3 linked regions of the Arabidopsis thaliana genome follow. The protein of the gene in region 3 interacts with the protein of the main gene of each other region in a pairwise test. Each region holds a gene or a part of one and is shown on either strand. Other genes may lie near its edges. The genes, in order: RACK1C_AT, RACK1B_AT and MEKK1.

Region 1 (4,421 bases), on a different chromosome or scaffold from region 3:
TGATAAAGGCTATGTAGCGCTCCCGCGTCTCTGTGTCTTTATCCAAAAACACGACAACTTTCTTCTCCTCGTCAACAAAGAAATTCCCAGCGGCAACCTGAAACTGCAAACCAGTTAGTGGTTCCATACCCACCGCTAAGAACAACTTGCTCCACGACGCTGTTTCGGGCTCAATCTTAGTCGTAATCCATATCTCCATCTGTAATGTATCATCTCTCTCAAATAACACTGTAAGTTGCTCATCTCTAACACTAGATAGAGTCACAGTATCTTCATTAAAAGAGTGAAACGGTAGACTTAGAGGGGGTCCAAATATCTCTCTTGTAAAATCATAACAGAGTAAGAACTCAGGGAGATGCTTTTGTTGAGTATTTCCCTTGAGAGACACGCCACGTGCAGAAAACTGTATCTCCCAGTTCGCAGAGTTAATGTTAGGGATAGTAATATTCATCCGTGGTTTAGAGGAGTTGAGGACTTGAGGTAGTAGAGTTCATACTGTACGTATCCGTAACAAGGTTCACTAAATCCCTTGGAAGATTGGCCATCATCATCTCAAGGATCATAAATAAGTTAGGTTAATGCTTCAGAAGATACTCTCCTCTGCTTCCGGTGGTTACAAATTTGAAGACAAAGAAACCCACCCTAACTGAATTGGGCCAATCATGGGCTTTAGAAATCTAATAGGCTTGTAATGTGGCCGGTGAAAGAGATAAGAGTGATATATTATAGGGATGAATTGTGAAGATTGAACCTCAATAAGACCAATCGGAAGATCACGAAGGTAAGTGTAATCAAAATCGTGACCTTTTGATATATAGTGATATGATAATCAATGGATTGTTTTTTTCTCTTCTGGAAATTAAACAAAAATTGCCAAAATAGAGGTTTGCGAGAGACTAATACAATACTGACGCAGTCTGGAAAAATTAAAAGCAGCTAAACTTTTTTCCGGAGATTTCGTGACTTCTTCTTCATCTTGTTGTGTCTCTAGTAACGACCAATACCCCAGACCCTGACAACTCCATCAGTGTAACCACTGAACAATGTGCTTCCATCTGCACTCCAGTTCAAGCTTGTGCAGTAGATAACCTGCATTTTCATTACACATTCCCATTAGATACCATTATCAATCTCTTCCTATATGTTAACATCAAAGTCAAAACCTTTGGAGCAGAGCAACATTTAAAGAATAAAATTCCTAGTTTCAAAGCTAATGGGTAAGGGAAAAGATTTCCTACATGCAATTTCTAACCAAAATTTCACTTTTTTTTTGTCATAACCAAAGATAATTTCATCACTACTTTTGGTGCATTCACTAACCTATCAATAGAGAACCAATTACTATAGTGAAATCATAAGATAATGACGTACCTTCTTCTGGTTACCAGTTCCAACACCACCTTCATTCTTCTCTGCCTCAGACTTGAGATCAACCTTCAAGTCCTCAACAACAGACTTGCTCTCAAGATCCCAAATCCTAATGCTATTCTCAGTAGCAGCACACAACCAGTATCTGTTAGGACTGAAGCAAAGCGAGTGAATAATCGAACCCGCCTCAAGCGAGTAAAGCTTCTTTCCTTCAGCCAAATCCCACAACAAGATAACACCATCTTTCCCACCACTGGCGCATAGCGAACCATCAGGCGAGACAGCAACAGTGTTGAGGTAACCAGAGTGACCAACAAGAGAGTTCCTCAGCTTACAGTTCTGGAGATTCCAAACTTTCACAGTTTTATCCCAAGAAGCAGATACAATAGTTGGTACAAGAGTATTAGGACTAAACCTAACACAACTAACCCATTCCTTGTGACCATCACCTTCAGAGATGGTATACTTACACTCACCAAGTGTGTTCCAAAGCTTAATCGTACGATCACGAGAAGCAGACACGATCTGCCGGTTATCAGTAGAGAATGCAACAGAGAGCACATCTTTCGTATGACCAACGAATCGACGAGTTGTTTCTCCCGTGGCAAGATCCCAGAGACGGAGCTCACCGTCCCAGCTTCCGGAGAGTGCAAACTGACCGTCCGATGAGAGAACAACATCTTCCACGAAGTGAGAGTGACCTGTGAGCCTACGCTGAGCAACACCGTAAGACTTATCGTCCTTTGTGAGTTTCCAGAGGATGATGGATTTGTCACGCGACGCTGTGACGATGATGTCGGAATTGTCGATCGGCGTAGCGATGGCCGTGACAATGTCGGTGTGGGCGCGCATAATGCCCTTCAATACGAGTCCCTCGGCCATGGTTTGAGGTTTTCGGGTTTCTTCTTCTTACTCACGAAAATGGCGTAACAGAGCGAGAGATTACGAGGTCGATTGAAATGTTTGGTATTTATACTCTAGGTCTAAAAATGAATCAAATTAGGGTTTAGTGTGGTTTCTGCGAGGAGACTGGCTCATTTGGGCCGGAGTTTCCGAGTCAGGTATAAATGGGCCTCTTCTGAAATAAATTTTGTTGGAGCATTTTTGTTGTGATATAGTTGAGAAATGTTTGATCAGAGAGGGAACATAAGAGCAATTTGAACGAATTCGATTGAAATGTACAAGAGTTTACTAAAACACAAATAACACAATCGTAGTTTGTTCATAATTTAGCTTTGATTCTTATTAAGGTTTTAATCGTGAAGTGCACAGCACACAGTGGCTTTGTGATGACCTTGGTACACTTTCACTTCTTTGCCTGCTGGCATCGACCACAATCTAGCCGTCATGTCCGATGATGCTGTACAACATCATAGAAACCCGTTTAAAGATTGTTCTGATATGTTTTTCAGTGGTTTAAGTTAAGACAGAGATTAGTACCTGTTACAAGAAATTCTCCATCCACTGAGAAGACGCAGTCCCAAACCCATCTTTGATGTCCTGTTATATAAGATTTGATGATAGTGTAAGAGACGATAATGGAGAATGAATGCTGTTGACAGTAACATGGAGAACATACCTGTTAAAACTTTCTCTAGTTTAAAACCATCGACGTTCCATATTTTGACAGTTTTATCAGATGATGCAGTCGCTAGATATCTGCTAACAAATATGTAAGAGCTTCGAAAAGGAGAGGATGAAGAAAACGGTTAAAAGAGAAAGTATAAGAAACATGTTACTTGTTTGCAGGAGAGAGGAGACATTTAAGGATGTGGCCATTATGAGCTTGCAGCTTATGAAGGGGCTCAAACTCTGTCATTGTCTGTAAAAGATTTTGAATTTTTAAATGGCATGGACAATTAGAGTAATGCGACTACAACATGGTTAAACAAAAGAAAGGTTTGCATATCAGGAACACTACCTGTTTTCCACGCAACAAGCGCCATACATAACATGTTCCACGGTTGTTAGCAGCGACTACCATTGTCCCATCCCACATAACAGTTAAAGACCGTACAGCTGTATCAACTTCTGGTACCTATAGTTAACCTCAAGTGATTATCTACGGATTTTCAGAAATGAAATGAAGACGTGTCAAAGGCAATTACCAGTTCACAGCTACACGAATTTGCTCTGAGATCCCATACACGTATATTTCCATTTTGGTCTCCAGATATCAATTCAGTCTGTACAAAAAAAAAAAACAAAGTTCATAATAAAGACTAAGGAAATAGTTCATAATAACAGCTGAGACAACTACCAAAATCACAGCAGTTTCAACAGTAGCAATACAACAACTCTCTTAAACATAAAACGAAGCTGATTCCCACAGCACAACAATAACAGATGACTTCATGTACCTGATTTGGGTGTAAAACAACTGTATTAACCGCTGCAACACTTTCATACTCCTTTTGGCAACCCGGAGCCCTGCATTTTGGTTTACGAGTCAACAAGAATACAATTTAGAACGTTCTTAGTATTTTTCGTAACTTTATATTCAATATCTCCTTATCCTTTCCCAGAATCCACACTTGAATAAATCTATAAACTTTTAGCTAAAGATGAAGATGACATGATATACCTTAAGTCCCAGATCTTAACTGTGCCATCTTCTGATCCTGAATACATCCATTTTGCATCACATTGAAATCCTACTGCCATAACATTGTTGGTGTGTGAATCGTAAGTCATCACCTAATACACACGACGACTCCATCAAGATCACTCAAGCAGGTAGAAGGAAGCAAACACCACATTGAGAAAAAAAGAGAGGAGTTTTACAGGTTGAGGACTATTGGAATTGACATCAAAGAGTCGAATATGAGGATTGCAAGCTGCAGCTAGATAATGCTTATCTGGGGTTATCTCAAGCCTATTTACATGCTGCAATTACAAACATTAATTTGTCTCAGTTTTATTAATTACTCAGAATTCACAAAATCAAGGGAGAGAGAGAGAGAAACAAACCGAATCAGGATACTGAATGGTACGGTAACAGCGACCAGTTTCGGCTTCCCAGAATCGGATGGTGTGATCATAGCTAGCCGTAG
Region 2 (4,492 bases), on a different chromosome or scaffold from region 3:
CATCATCTCTATCAATGAGATCTACCTCTTCCTGCAAACAAAAAGAAACAAATTTAATAGATACACTGTTGAAAGCTCACAGGGCAAGCAGATCACAGGACAAGCGGCCGTGGCTTTAAAAGGTAATCTGGAACTATATCAAAGAAAGATAGGTGATTCCAGAGTATTAGTCCACAGATAGGTCAAATGCATAATCGTTATCGCAATTAAACACAGCTACTAGAGACATAATTATACAAGTTCTTAACAGAACAACCAGTGAGTTTCCCCGAGAAATAGCTTGTTGGGGATGAGATAAGCAAAGTACACTGAATCATACTTGCGAGCAAATGAGAGCAGTAAAGAACATGTGCAGTATCGTTTAATAAACAGCAAATTCTCCAATACAGAGAAGAGGGGAAGCATATTATCTTACAAGTAAATGAGAGCTGCCAAGAGCTCGAGCGGTGTCAACATACAAATGTCTGCCTAAAATGTTGACTTGAACCCTAATGTATAAGCTAAGCATTGTCACAGACCACAGAGACAAAACCATCCTCGTGAAACCTGGCAAATAACATGAATATACAGGTAAGAAACAGAATTTGATAGAGTAAGAGTAGGTGACTGCAGTGCATACTCAAAATCTTGAGCTCATCCCAGAGCTGAAGTTTCTCAGGTGGACTCAGCATTCCTTTCCCTTGGTTCAGTCTGTCCATAACATGAGAGACATCGATCTCCTCGCTGATACGGATACTCAAAAACTGCATTGCGTGAGGCAGTGTGGTCGAATCCACAATCATCTGAATACTCTCGAAATGTGCTTTCATTCTAAACAAGAGTACAAACAAGACAGGTCCGTTAGAGAATCCATAAGAACTGAAGTCTAAAGGATCAGTTTTTATGAGCACAGAACTTAACTGGGTTTTGATGATTTCGTCATTTTCACGCTCGTGAGCGAGTTCTCGTTCCAAATCAGCAAGCCTACGAGTATGGGAATTGTATAGTTTGTAGAGTAAATACCCACTTCCCAAACAACCAGCCGTCACCAAGACCTTCCTTCTATGCTTCCTCCAAAAACCCCTAATTTATTCCACAAGGTATTGAATCAATTAAAAACCCTAACTTTATTCACCAAAAACCCTTCCTAAGGAATTGGAATTAGTGTGCTAGAGAGAGAGAGATAGAGAACGCAAAACACTAAATTTCGAATTTTCACGAAAACAGTAAGCAATTACAAAGAAAGATGAAGCGAACAAGAACCTAACGAAATCCATGGCTGGTGAAGCTTTTACTGAAGTCGAACCCAGAGATACATAGCTGAGAAAACACGTAGAAAGATGAAGATTCCCGAATTGATTCGTTCGGTTTGAAAAGGAGATAACTTTGCAGGCGAGAGAAAGAGATGGTTGATGTGATCGATTTCAATTTAATCAATCACTTCATCTTTTTCTTCTCCGGAATTCGGACATGTAAAATTATATCTTCCACAGGGACAGTCGAAGTTGTGTTCTTAGTTCTTACAATAAAAGTTGAAATGGCCAAACTCGGTTTGTTTACTTTAATTGAACCGACTTTTGAGTCTATTTCAATTTTTGACAATAACTTCTCGGTAGAGTTCTCATGGGGTTTGCCCAAAAGAGAGAAAAAAAAGTTGTCATGTCATGTACTCATGTGGTTATCAAATTGACTTGTAACAAGCTATACCAATTCTGGTTAAGCGTTCCAAACAGAAAGATATAAATCTCGGTTCCATAATTGTCCCAACATGAAACCAAGTTGGGTAGAATACCGGGCCTTAATGCTGGCCCAAATGAAGAGACCCAAACTATTGACAAATGAAAACAAAGAACCCTAATTATCTCTAACTATAAATACTCTCGGTTTCTCGTTACCTCCATTTTGCCCTCTCCCATTTTTGTCGCCGAAACCCTAAATCTCGACCTCAAACCCTGAACCATGGCTGAAGGACTCGTGTTGAAAGGCACAATGTGTGCCCACACTGATATGGTCACCGCCATTGCTACACCGGTCGATAACTCCGACGTGATTGTAACTTCGTCGCGTGACAAATCAATCATCCTCTGGAAACTCACAAAGGAAGACAAGTCATACGGTGTTGCTCAGCGGAGGATGACTGGTCACTCTCACTTCGTTCAAGACGTTGTTCTCTCCTCCGATGGACAATTCGCTCTCTCCGGATCTTGGGACGGTGAGCTTCGTCTCTGGGATCTCGCTACCGGAGAATCTACTCGTCGTTTCGTTGGTCACACGAAAGATGTTCTCTCTGTTGCTTTCTCTACCGATAACCGTCAGATCGTCTCTGCTTCTCGTGATCGTACGATTAAGCTTTGGAACACGCTTGGTGAGTGTAAGTATACCATCTCTGAAGCTGATGGTCACAAGGAATGGGTTAGTTGTGTTAGGTTTAGTCCTAATACTCTTGTGCCAACTATTGTATCTGCTTCTTGGGATAAAACTGTGAAGGTCTGGAATCTTCAGAATTGTAAGCTTAGGAACACTCTTGCTGGTCACTCTGGTTACTTGAACACTGTGGCTGTGTCACCTGATGGTTCGTTGTGTGCCAGTGGTGGCAAAGATGGTGTGATCTTGCTTTGGGATTTGGCTGAAGGGAAGAAGTTGTATTCTCTTGAAGCTGGCTCTATTATTCATTCACTTTGCTTCAGTCCCAATAGGTACTGGTTGTGTGCAGCAACAGAGAATAGCATTAGGATTTGGGATCTCGAGAGTAAGTCTGTTGTTGAGGATTTGAAGGTTGATCTTAAGGCTGAGGCTGAAAAGACTGATGGTTCTACTGGAATCGGAAACAAGACCAAGGTATCTATTTCTCCTCACTCTATCTTATGGTTAATTGTCTAGTTCTAAGTTCTGTGAATTAGTTAGCCGTTGCCTTAAAAGATGAGATTTTCATAAAGGAAGGTCTGAATACTCTCATGTGAAGTTAGTTCACAAGATTTGATTGGTACGTAAGAGAGTAGCTAACATTAGATTGAGAAACCTGGTTTTAAGTTAGCTCTAGTCTCTGATTTCTTAGATTGTAGTGTCTGAAGTGATTCCATATTGATTTGTTGGTTACTCTTTGGTCTGAGGTGGTTTATATATGTTCTAATGTGGAATGTAAAATGCAGGTGATCTACTGCACAAGCTTGAACTGGAGTGCAGATGGAAACACTTTGTTCAGTGGATACACTGATGGAGTTATCAGGGTTTGGGGTATTGGTCGTTACTAGAGAGACAAGAAGTTTCTTTATTCTCTCCAAATTTTTCCATCGACTCTAAAGTCTTCTCTTCTGAATTAGTGTTTTGAGGATTTATTTTTTGTTCTTTTCTATTTTCAGAATCCACAAATGTGATATTTTGATACATTGATTTTGTTTCATATTTGTTTTCTTACACTGAGTCTGAGTACACGGCGTAGAATCTGATTTGAAGTTGTTACTTGTATCCTCTAGAAAGTAGAAATGGCTTTAGGTTGATGACTAACTGTATAACAGCAAGAATTTTTTCTTAGGAATCTGAAAACTTCAAGGAGTTATTAGCCTTTACTTTTCCAGTGGTTACATCTTAACTACAACACGAACCCTTTCAAAAGAATCTCTAAACACCAATGCACCAACCAGTTTATCTTTTTGTACTTAATGATATTTGGTTTTCCATCTCTTACTCTACCAAAACTAAGAGTAGTCTAAAGTGTAGGCGACAAGGCCATATGTTATACGAATTCTCAGTTAACATGAACCGAATATAGCCCATATAGAATAGTTCTTGACCCAGACGCTTACCTCCATACGGCACAGAGTCTCTGATAAATGGGTCTTATTAGCATTAATTTTGTGTGTAGCCAAAGGTTGAAACTTGAGAACTTCTTCATGCTCAAAAACACCAAATGAGGTAAACCATGCACGAGTCAATAGTCAATAATCAAAAGTGCAATCAAGATTGTTTTCACTGCTTTTCCGAAGAAACCAAGACCCCCTATGACATGTTTCAGCATCATAAGCCGCTCAACAAAGCAATGCTTAATTGCTCTGTAAAATTTTTCATATTTCTTATCTTTTAGATATTCTACACCCAATACCCAAGTCCACGTATATAACAAGATCTTAATTAGGCTCCGTAGGCTTCGACAACATGTCCATTTTATATCATGCTTTTTTTTGTAGTCCAAATAAGCTAAGGTTGATCAAGAATGGAACATCAAACTACTAAAACTATAGATCGTTTAGCTCTGCATGATTTAGAGAAACCGCAGCAAAACTATTTCTATCGTCATTAGATGATATAATACAACCTTTTGCACTAATTTAGGCTTTGCAAATTTGAGAAAAAGAAATATAGACTTTATTATATTCTGTTTTGTTAACAAATTAGGCTAATCTACCTCATATTGGTTACTCGGATACTTTCTTCTCAAATGCGACAAGTCTCAACATGTTTCGATCAAATAGACGTGTTTCTATACTGCTTTGATGTTTTTTTATGTTCCCTGGTG
Region 3 (6,392 bases):
AACTTAGGTCTAAAAACAATATATATAGACCCTAAAAACGTCCAGGGACTAATAATGCAAATAGGGAAATCTTCTGGGACAAAGTTGAGCTTCTGGAAACTCGAAAGCGTCTAGGGTTTTTGCTGGGCCGAAACTAGTGTCGATCGACACCAAGAGTGTGTCGGTCGACACTCGTTGCTGATTCTTGAACCAAAGTCGTCCTTAGCTTCCTTTTCGTTAGTTTTTGCTACAAAATGTTTCCTTATCTCCAATATTGTCTTATTGCATAAAATACCTGAAAAGACACTAAAAAGACACGAGAAATAACGTAAAGAGTCAAAATAGGGTTAGACTTGGCTATGAAACCTCTTGGAGACTATTCTTGTTTTGTATAACCTGTGTGAGCACCCAATATCCAGAATTGACAGTATAGCCTCCGAATTAGGGCTGAGCAGAGAGCAGATATCCGGGATTTTGGTGTTGTTTGTGATTCGATTTGCTTTATCAGAATACTTATTTTTTTTTTTTTGTATTTGCTTTGAGAGAGACCAAATATTCGGTGGTTTTGAATATCCGTTAAAATCTAAACCATTTAATTATCATATATCGGATTTGTTAAATATTTATTTTAAAAAAATATAAAAATATAAAATTTAATCCAAAAATAGTAAAATTTTATCAAAAATAGTAATATTTTATATTTCTCTTTTCAATGTTAAAACTAGTAGTTCAAATAATTAATTAGGTGATTAGAAAATTATAATTAAATTGAGTAGAATAACGGATCAAAGCGAATCTAACAAATATTCTATCTAGTCGTACTCCAAACTTGGTATAATCCCAAGTATAGGTATCTTGTGTATTTTTTTTCCTGGCATTTAGATCCCCGTTGAAAATGGTCAAAGCCAAAATTCTTTCGATTATCTTTTTTTTTGGTCACTTTTGAATTTTTTTATAAATCCATCATTTCCAATAACTTTTCAACGGGCAATATTGTAAAAGAAAAAAAAACAAGTTGAATTATATAGACTTCAATTAAAGTGGCTTTGACCTGAATTATAGAAAATATCTTGACTATACTTTTTAATAGATGATTAGAGCAGCAGATTTCTTTAAAATATGAGACAAATAGAACTTAAACCCATCGATGTGTGTACACAGTTACAACAAGCCAGGAACTATAAGAACCAACTATAATTATACATTACATGATATAGATACAGACATACATACACTATAATTTAACAAAAAAAACTAAACAAAACCTATACACCCAAAAACCCCAAGGTCGACATTTCTAATTCCTAGAAAAATAAGGCTCTTCAGTTTTAAAATCAAGCCCAACACATAACTTGCAACAAATAACCAACGAATGACACAGAAACTAAGTAAGTTTGGCTCTTGCTGCGCAACCCGACCGCACGTGTGTGTGTGTCGAAGAATCATGTCTCGTGTCTCCCAATAGTTTCTCTGGGATCTAATCTCTCATAAATCTTCGGGTTATGCCTGCTTTTGTACATTAGGACATCAATGTTAGAAGAATATATAGCTTTTGTTGATTCTGATAATATCCTCATGAAAAAAGCAACTAAATACTTCACCTATTGAGGAAATTTACTAAAATTAGCCTCATCTACGGAGAAGGGGAGATGCTGATCCCGAGCCTCCTGAACCCACGGATGGTAAGGGTCTTCTCACAAATGGATGGTTCAGCAGTTCAGCTGCAGTTGGCCGCTCTTCCGGGTTCACTTTAAGACACTTAAGTATGAAAAGCCGAGCATCTAGTGATAACGTATCAGGTACTTCCGGAAGAGTACCCCTTCCGATCCTAAACAGGGCTTGAACCTGCGCGTTTGCACAAATTCTGACTTTTAACTCATAAAATCCCATAAAGTAGACACTTCAAATGTCGTTTAAGATTATTAAGACAGTTCAAAAGTTTGAAAATCTTGAAGACTTACGGGTTCGAGATCAGAGTAGGGGATCTGACCAGTACACATTTCCAGCACAGTGCACCCGAGGCTCCATATATCAGCTGGACTTCCATAGCCATCACTATCCTTTCGGTTAATAACCTGATCAAATGATTATGTTCTATTTAGATATAACCATACAAGTATAGCCTCAAGTACAATGAAAGTGAAATGAATCCACATCTGTTACGTACGATTAACATACATACTTACAATTATCAAAAACCATTAACTGATATAAAGAAAATTTCACCAAATATTTGAAGCAAACATAACCAGGAGTTTTTGAGGTTATAAAGCCCAGACCAGAACATTTCTATTAATGTAAATCACTGGGAAAGTTTCCCAAAACCATACCTCTGGAGCCATCCAAAATGGAGTTCCCTTGCAGGACTTAATGTCGTTAAACTTTGAAACCTAAATAAAAAAAAATGACAAACATATCAGGGTACTAAACGATGGACCAAGTAATTACTTTAGAGCAAAGCTATAAATATCTATTTATGGAAAAAAACCTTTGCCAATCCAAAATCTGCAAGTTTGACGGCGCCATTAGCGTCCACCAATATATTTGCACATTTGATGTCCCTTTGTTGCATAAAATGATAAAAATAAGTAACCCATGAGATGCAGGAAATTAGATAGATGCTTGGGAATTACAGCTGTACCAAGAGAGTTTACTAGTCTAACCTGTGAATAAAACCTTTATCGTGGAGATATTTCAAACCGTCAAGAATCTGTCTAGTGTACAAGGAGACTACAGAGTCCCGAAGCTGGTATCTTTGGTAGAGTTTTAGAAGGGACCCTTGGGTTACAAGCTCAAGAAAAATGTACAAGTTTGACCCATCCTGAAAACAGCGAAATGAGTTATTATTGCACAATGAAATAGTTAGGCAACTGCAACTAAGAAAAAGAAAGAGAGAACAGGACCACACCTTGGCTGTGCCACGATATCTCACAATATTCTGATGCTGAAGCTGACTAAGTAGTTTAATCTCCTGTAGAAAATGAAAAATATGGCAAAGGTAAGGTGGATTAGCAACCTACTTTTGACTGCTCCATGAGATAATGACAGAAGTGATAAATGCTACGGATCATTGACCCATGTATATGAAACTTCCATTTCCATACCCCCTCAAGTTGTTGTATGCATTCTTGTGCCTGACTTCCCTGATCAAGAAGTGAAACTTCCTTGACAGCAAAGAAGTCCCCATCTCTACATATAACATAAACATCCATTAGCCAAACGCATAATGGAAGACTCGTTTGGACCACATTTGTCAGCCGACTACTGTAGTATTCCTCATTGAGTGTCTACTTTTTTAAAACATCATGCGACTAAGTATCTGATTTCAAGTTCAACAAACACAAGCAACCAGTAAGACTTACCCAGAAATGCCTTCATACACAGAACCAAATGATCCTCGTCCCAAAAGTTGACCCTTTTGCCAAGACGTTATGATAGCTCCTCCATCTGGATAGATAGGCGAAGTATTGGATACTGTGCTTGAGGAGTCACCCTCATTTGTAGTGAATGAGCACGTCTCGTCAGCCGTATCCCCCAACTGGATAAACCTAGCTCCCATCTCTTCCGCTTCCGCTTCCTCTTCCTTGCCTTCCTCTTCATCGCATCCATCCTCGGAAGAAGAAGAAGAGGAACTCGGCCGCTTAACTGTTTCACTTGGAGCGAAATGCGTCAGGAAATCCCAAGACGATCCCCGATGATCAATAGGGGGTCGTTTCATAGCCGGAGGAGGCTTAAGTACTGGTGGTCTTAGCCCCTTAATACCACCACCAACACCAACACCAACAGCCACTACATTATTTGGTACAAGATACCCTTTCGACTTCACAATAGTTGGTGTTCTTTCCATAACACGCCTATTCTCTACCACACCATCAGCTACTAACCTATCCACAGGAGTGATTAAATTCCCAATCTCACTCAACTCAGTAACAATTCCACCACTAGGACCTGCTTCACTCAAATCCTGACCCTGAACCTTATGATTCATTGAATCAGAACCAACAACAACACCACTAGGACCTTCTTCACTCAAATCCTGATCACGAACCTTATCAAGATCAAAAGACTTAAACCTATTAACAACATCTGAAGAAGAACGTTTCTTACAAGCTTCCCAAGCATCAAAAGAAATAGCCAAATCATCAGGACCAGAAACACCAAGAGACCGATAAATCCGATCCATCTCTCCAACACCACCACCGATTCGGAAACTAGTAGGCTCCGGAAACTCCAAAGAGCGAGTCATCAACGAAGAAGTCGAAACGGAAAGATCTTCAGCTGACGAACTAGAACATGAAGCTGCGTCGTAATTGATATTCCTCGCCGCATCGCGACGCTCTAACCGCCGTACCGGAGTAATATTCTTATCTCCTCCTCTTCGTCCAGTTGATTTCTTCATACGAGCTAGAATTCTGTCCATAACCAGCTCAAATCCATACGCTATTTACAAGTTCCAAGTCAAAATTGAAGAGAATCGCACCTCTTACTTGGCTTCAATGGAGCTTGGAATTGGAAAATTTTCCCGAGAAAAAAAACTCGCGGGAGTGAAGAAGACCGAGAAATTTGGGCAAAACCTGACGGCGAAGAGAGAGATATGAGAGAAGAGAGAGAGAGAAAGAGAAGAAATGTAAACAAAAACGCGGTGTTTCGTGGAATAATCGGAGACGAAGCATTGTTTCGGCGTTTTTGATTGTTCCATGAGAGTCTTTACTTTTTTTGTTTACGCGTTCACTTACTGGGCTTTTTAATTGGGCTTACAATTGTTGGGCTTCTTAAGCTTTCAGTTTGGAGTTTTGAGTTGAATATATTAATTATGTAGACTTGAGTTTGTTGTTTTAAAAAATACAAAATAATCTTATGAAATCTAAAATAGCCTATTTTGCAATTTTATATATATTGTAAATGTTTTCACGATTACATACATTTGTTTTTAAAACTTTTAAAGATATACTTGAACTCTTCATCTCGAGGTTCCGATTTAATATATTATTTATCAAAATTTTAAAATTTGATAGTAACGAAAAATCTATATTGTGTATTATTTTGAAATTCATATGATATTTTGCATTTTTTGGATCTGAAGAATAAAGTTGTAAAAATAGACGAGTTTGAGGATTTTTTTGCATAAAACCCTTTTAAAAAGTAGAGTTTAGATGGTTTTAAGGTGTTAAACTTAAAACATGTGTAAACTTTAGAATCCGTGGACGAGGCATACACCGCTTTACTATAGGACGTGTTAATATATTTTTAACTTTTAAGTACAAAAGAAAATAAGTGTCGTGGATTAGTTAATCGATGTAGTAGAGTATTGCGAGTTTGATTGTGTGTTTTGCAGGGTTTTGATAGAGGTAAATAAAAAATCTGTTAAACATACAAAAGTTAGAAGTAATATAGTTAACCTACGAAAAGATTGTAACTAAATAAACATATTACTATAAATTATACAACATATAACAAATAGAAAGATTACTTCGATAAACCTAAATAGAGCAAAATTTTCTACCGCTTACTTTTCGTACAATTTTTGAACTTTAACATGGACAATGTCTAAGCAAAATTTTGTTTTGTTTAATTGTTTTTGTTGAAAAGATGTAAATAAAAATTGCATGCCCAAAACTCGTCTACAAAATCAAAGCAATTTTTTTTTACTTTTGCCCATCAAAGAGCATAGTAATGTATCAAACTTATTTTTATATATAGATATAAAGATTTAATGGGTAAATTGCTTTAGAGATCGTGTGTGTGAAGAAGCAATAATCATATATTATTTTAATCATCTTACGAAGAGTTAAGTGTCAGGGAAGAAGTTTGTTCTCATTCGCTCAAAATTGGAAACACTTATGTTGGTTATGTTAGTTATGATTTTTTGAGGGATATATTGCTTAGATTTCGAAACGAATTGGGTGAAGTTATTGAGTAAATCGTTTAGCTAGATTAGTTCGTATCATGTATTGATTTTAATTTGTTTATGTAATCTCTTCTCATCATTATTGGGTAGCAAAAATAAAGCTTTTCTTTTAAAAACAACAACTTCTGGCTACAAACAAAATGTCAATATCCAATTAACAAAATTATCTAAAACTAAACTGAAAATTGTAAATTCTAAACAAAAATTCTTAAACCAAATCACTTAGACTTCACTTTAGTAACCTTTAATTAATAAATAATATATCTATATTTAGTTCTGGAAGAGTCAGCCTTTTATTTTAAAAATCTAAAAATTTGTCTCCTAGTCATCCTTTTATAGGAAGAAAATACTAAATTTCTTTATTCAAATAAATACTATAACAAAATATTAATATTTTAATGTATAATTTGGTAATATATTTAAAATTCAGACACATTGACATTATAATTAGGCAATTTGGTACCATGTTAATGAAATATTAATGTTGATTAACTATTTAGGCTAA

What was found.
Region 1: the proteins of MEKK1 (region 3) and RACK1C_AT come close enough for resonance energy transfer, tested with the Arabidopsis thaliana proteins (one study listed by BioGRID).
Region 2: the proteins of MEKK1 (region 3) and RACK1B_AT come close enough for resonance energy transfer, tested with the Arabidopsis thaliana proteins (one study listed by BioGRID).

Annotation. Positions count from the first base shown.
Region 1 is NC_003074.8:6,210,122-6,214,542, forward strand, and holds RACK1C_AT (receptor for activated C kinase 1C), read right to left. Parts: upstream 2,431-4,421; 5' UTR 2,251-2,430; coding exon 1,372-2,250; intron 1,090-1,371; coding exon 988-1,089; 3' UTR 757-987; downstream 1-756. Other genes in the region: AT3G18120 (F-box associated ubiquitination effector family protein), read right to left, coding at 1-451; LST8-1 (Transducin/WD40 repeat-like superfamily protein), read right to left, coding at 2,622-2,728, 2,809-2,868, 2,948-3,027, 3,108-3,190, 3,290-3,406, 3,477-3,554, 3,729-3,798, 3,953-4,065 and 2 more. UniProt on the Arabidopsis thaliana protein: Minor component of the RACK1 regulatory proteins that play a role in multiple signal transduction pathways. Involved in multiple hormone responses and developmental processes.
Region 2 is NC_003070.9:17,980,715-17,985,206, reverse strand, and holds RACK1B_AT (receptor for activated C kinase 1B), read left to right. Parts: upstream 1-1,829; 5' UTR 1,830-1,938; coding exon 1,939-2,817; intron 2,818-3,128; coding exon 3,129-3,230; 3' UTR 3,231-3,571; downstream 3,572-4,492. Other genes in the region: PEX3 (peroxin 3), read right to left, coding at 1-31, 97-133, 238-308, 416-546, 620-810, 901-1,062, 1,243-1,256.
Region 3 is NC_003075.7:5,402,664-5,409,055, forward strand, and holds MEKK1 (MAPK/ERK kinase kinase 1), read right to left. Parts: upstream 4,658-6,392; 5' UTR 4,400-4,657; coding exon 3,342-4,399; intron 3,169-3,341; coding exon 3,084-3,168; intron 2,951-3,083; coding exon 2,888-2,950; intron 2,801-2,887; coding exon 2,643-2,800; intron 2,541-2,642; coding exon 2,468-2,540; intron 2,370-2,467; coding exon 2,310-2,369; intron 2,055-2,309; coding exon 1,941-2,054; intron 1,825-1,940; coding exon 1,609-1,824; 3' UTR 1,581-1,608; intron 1,486-1,580; 3' UTR 1,008-1,485; downstream 1-1,007.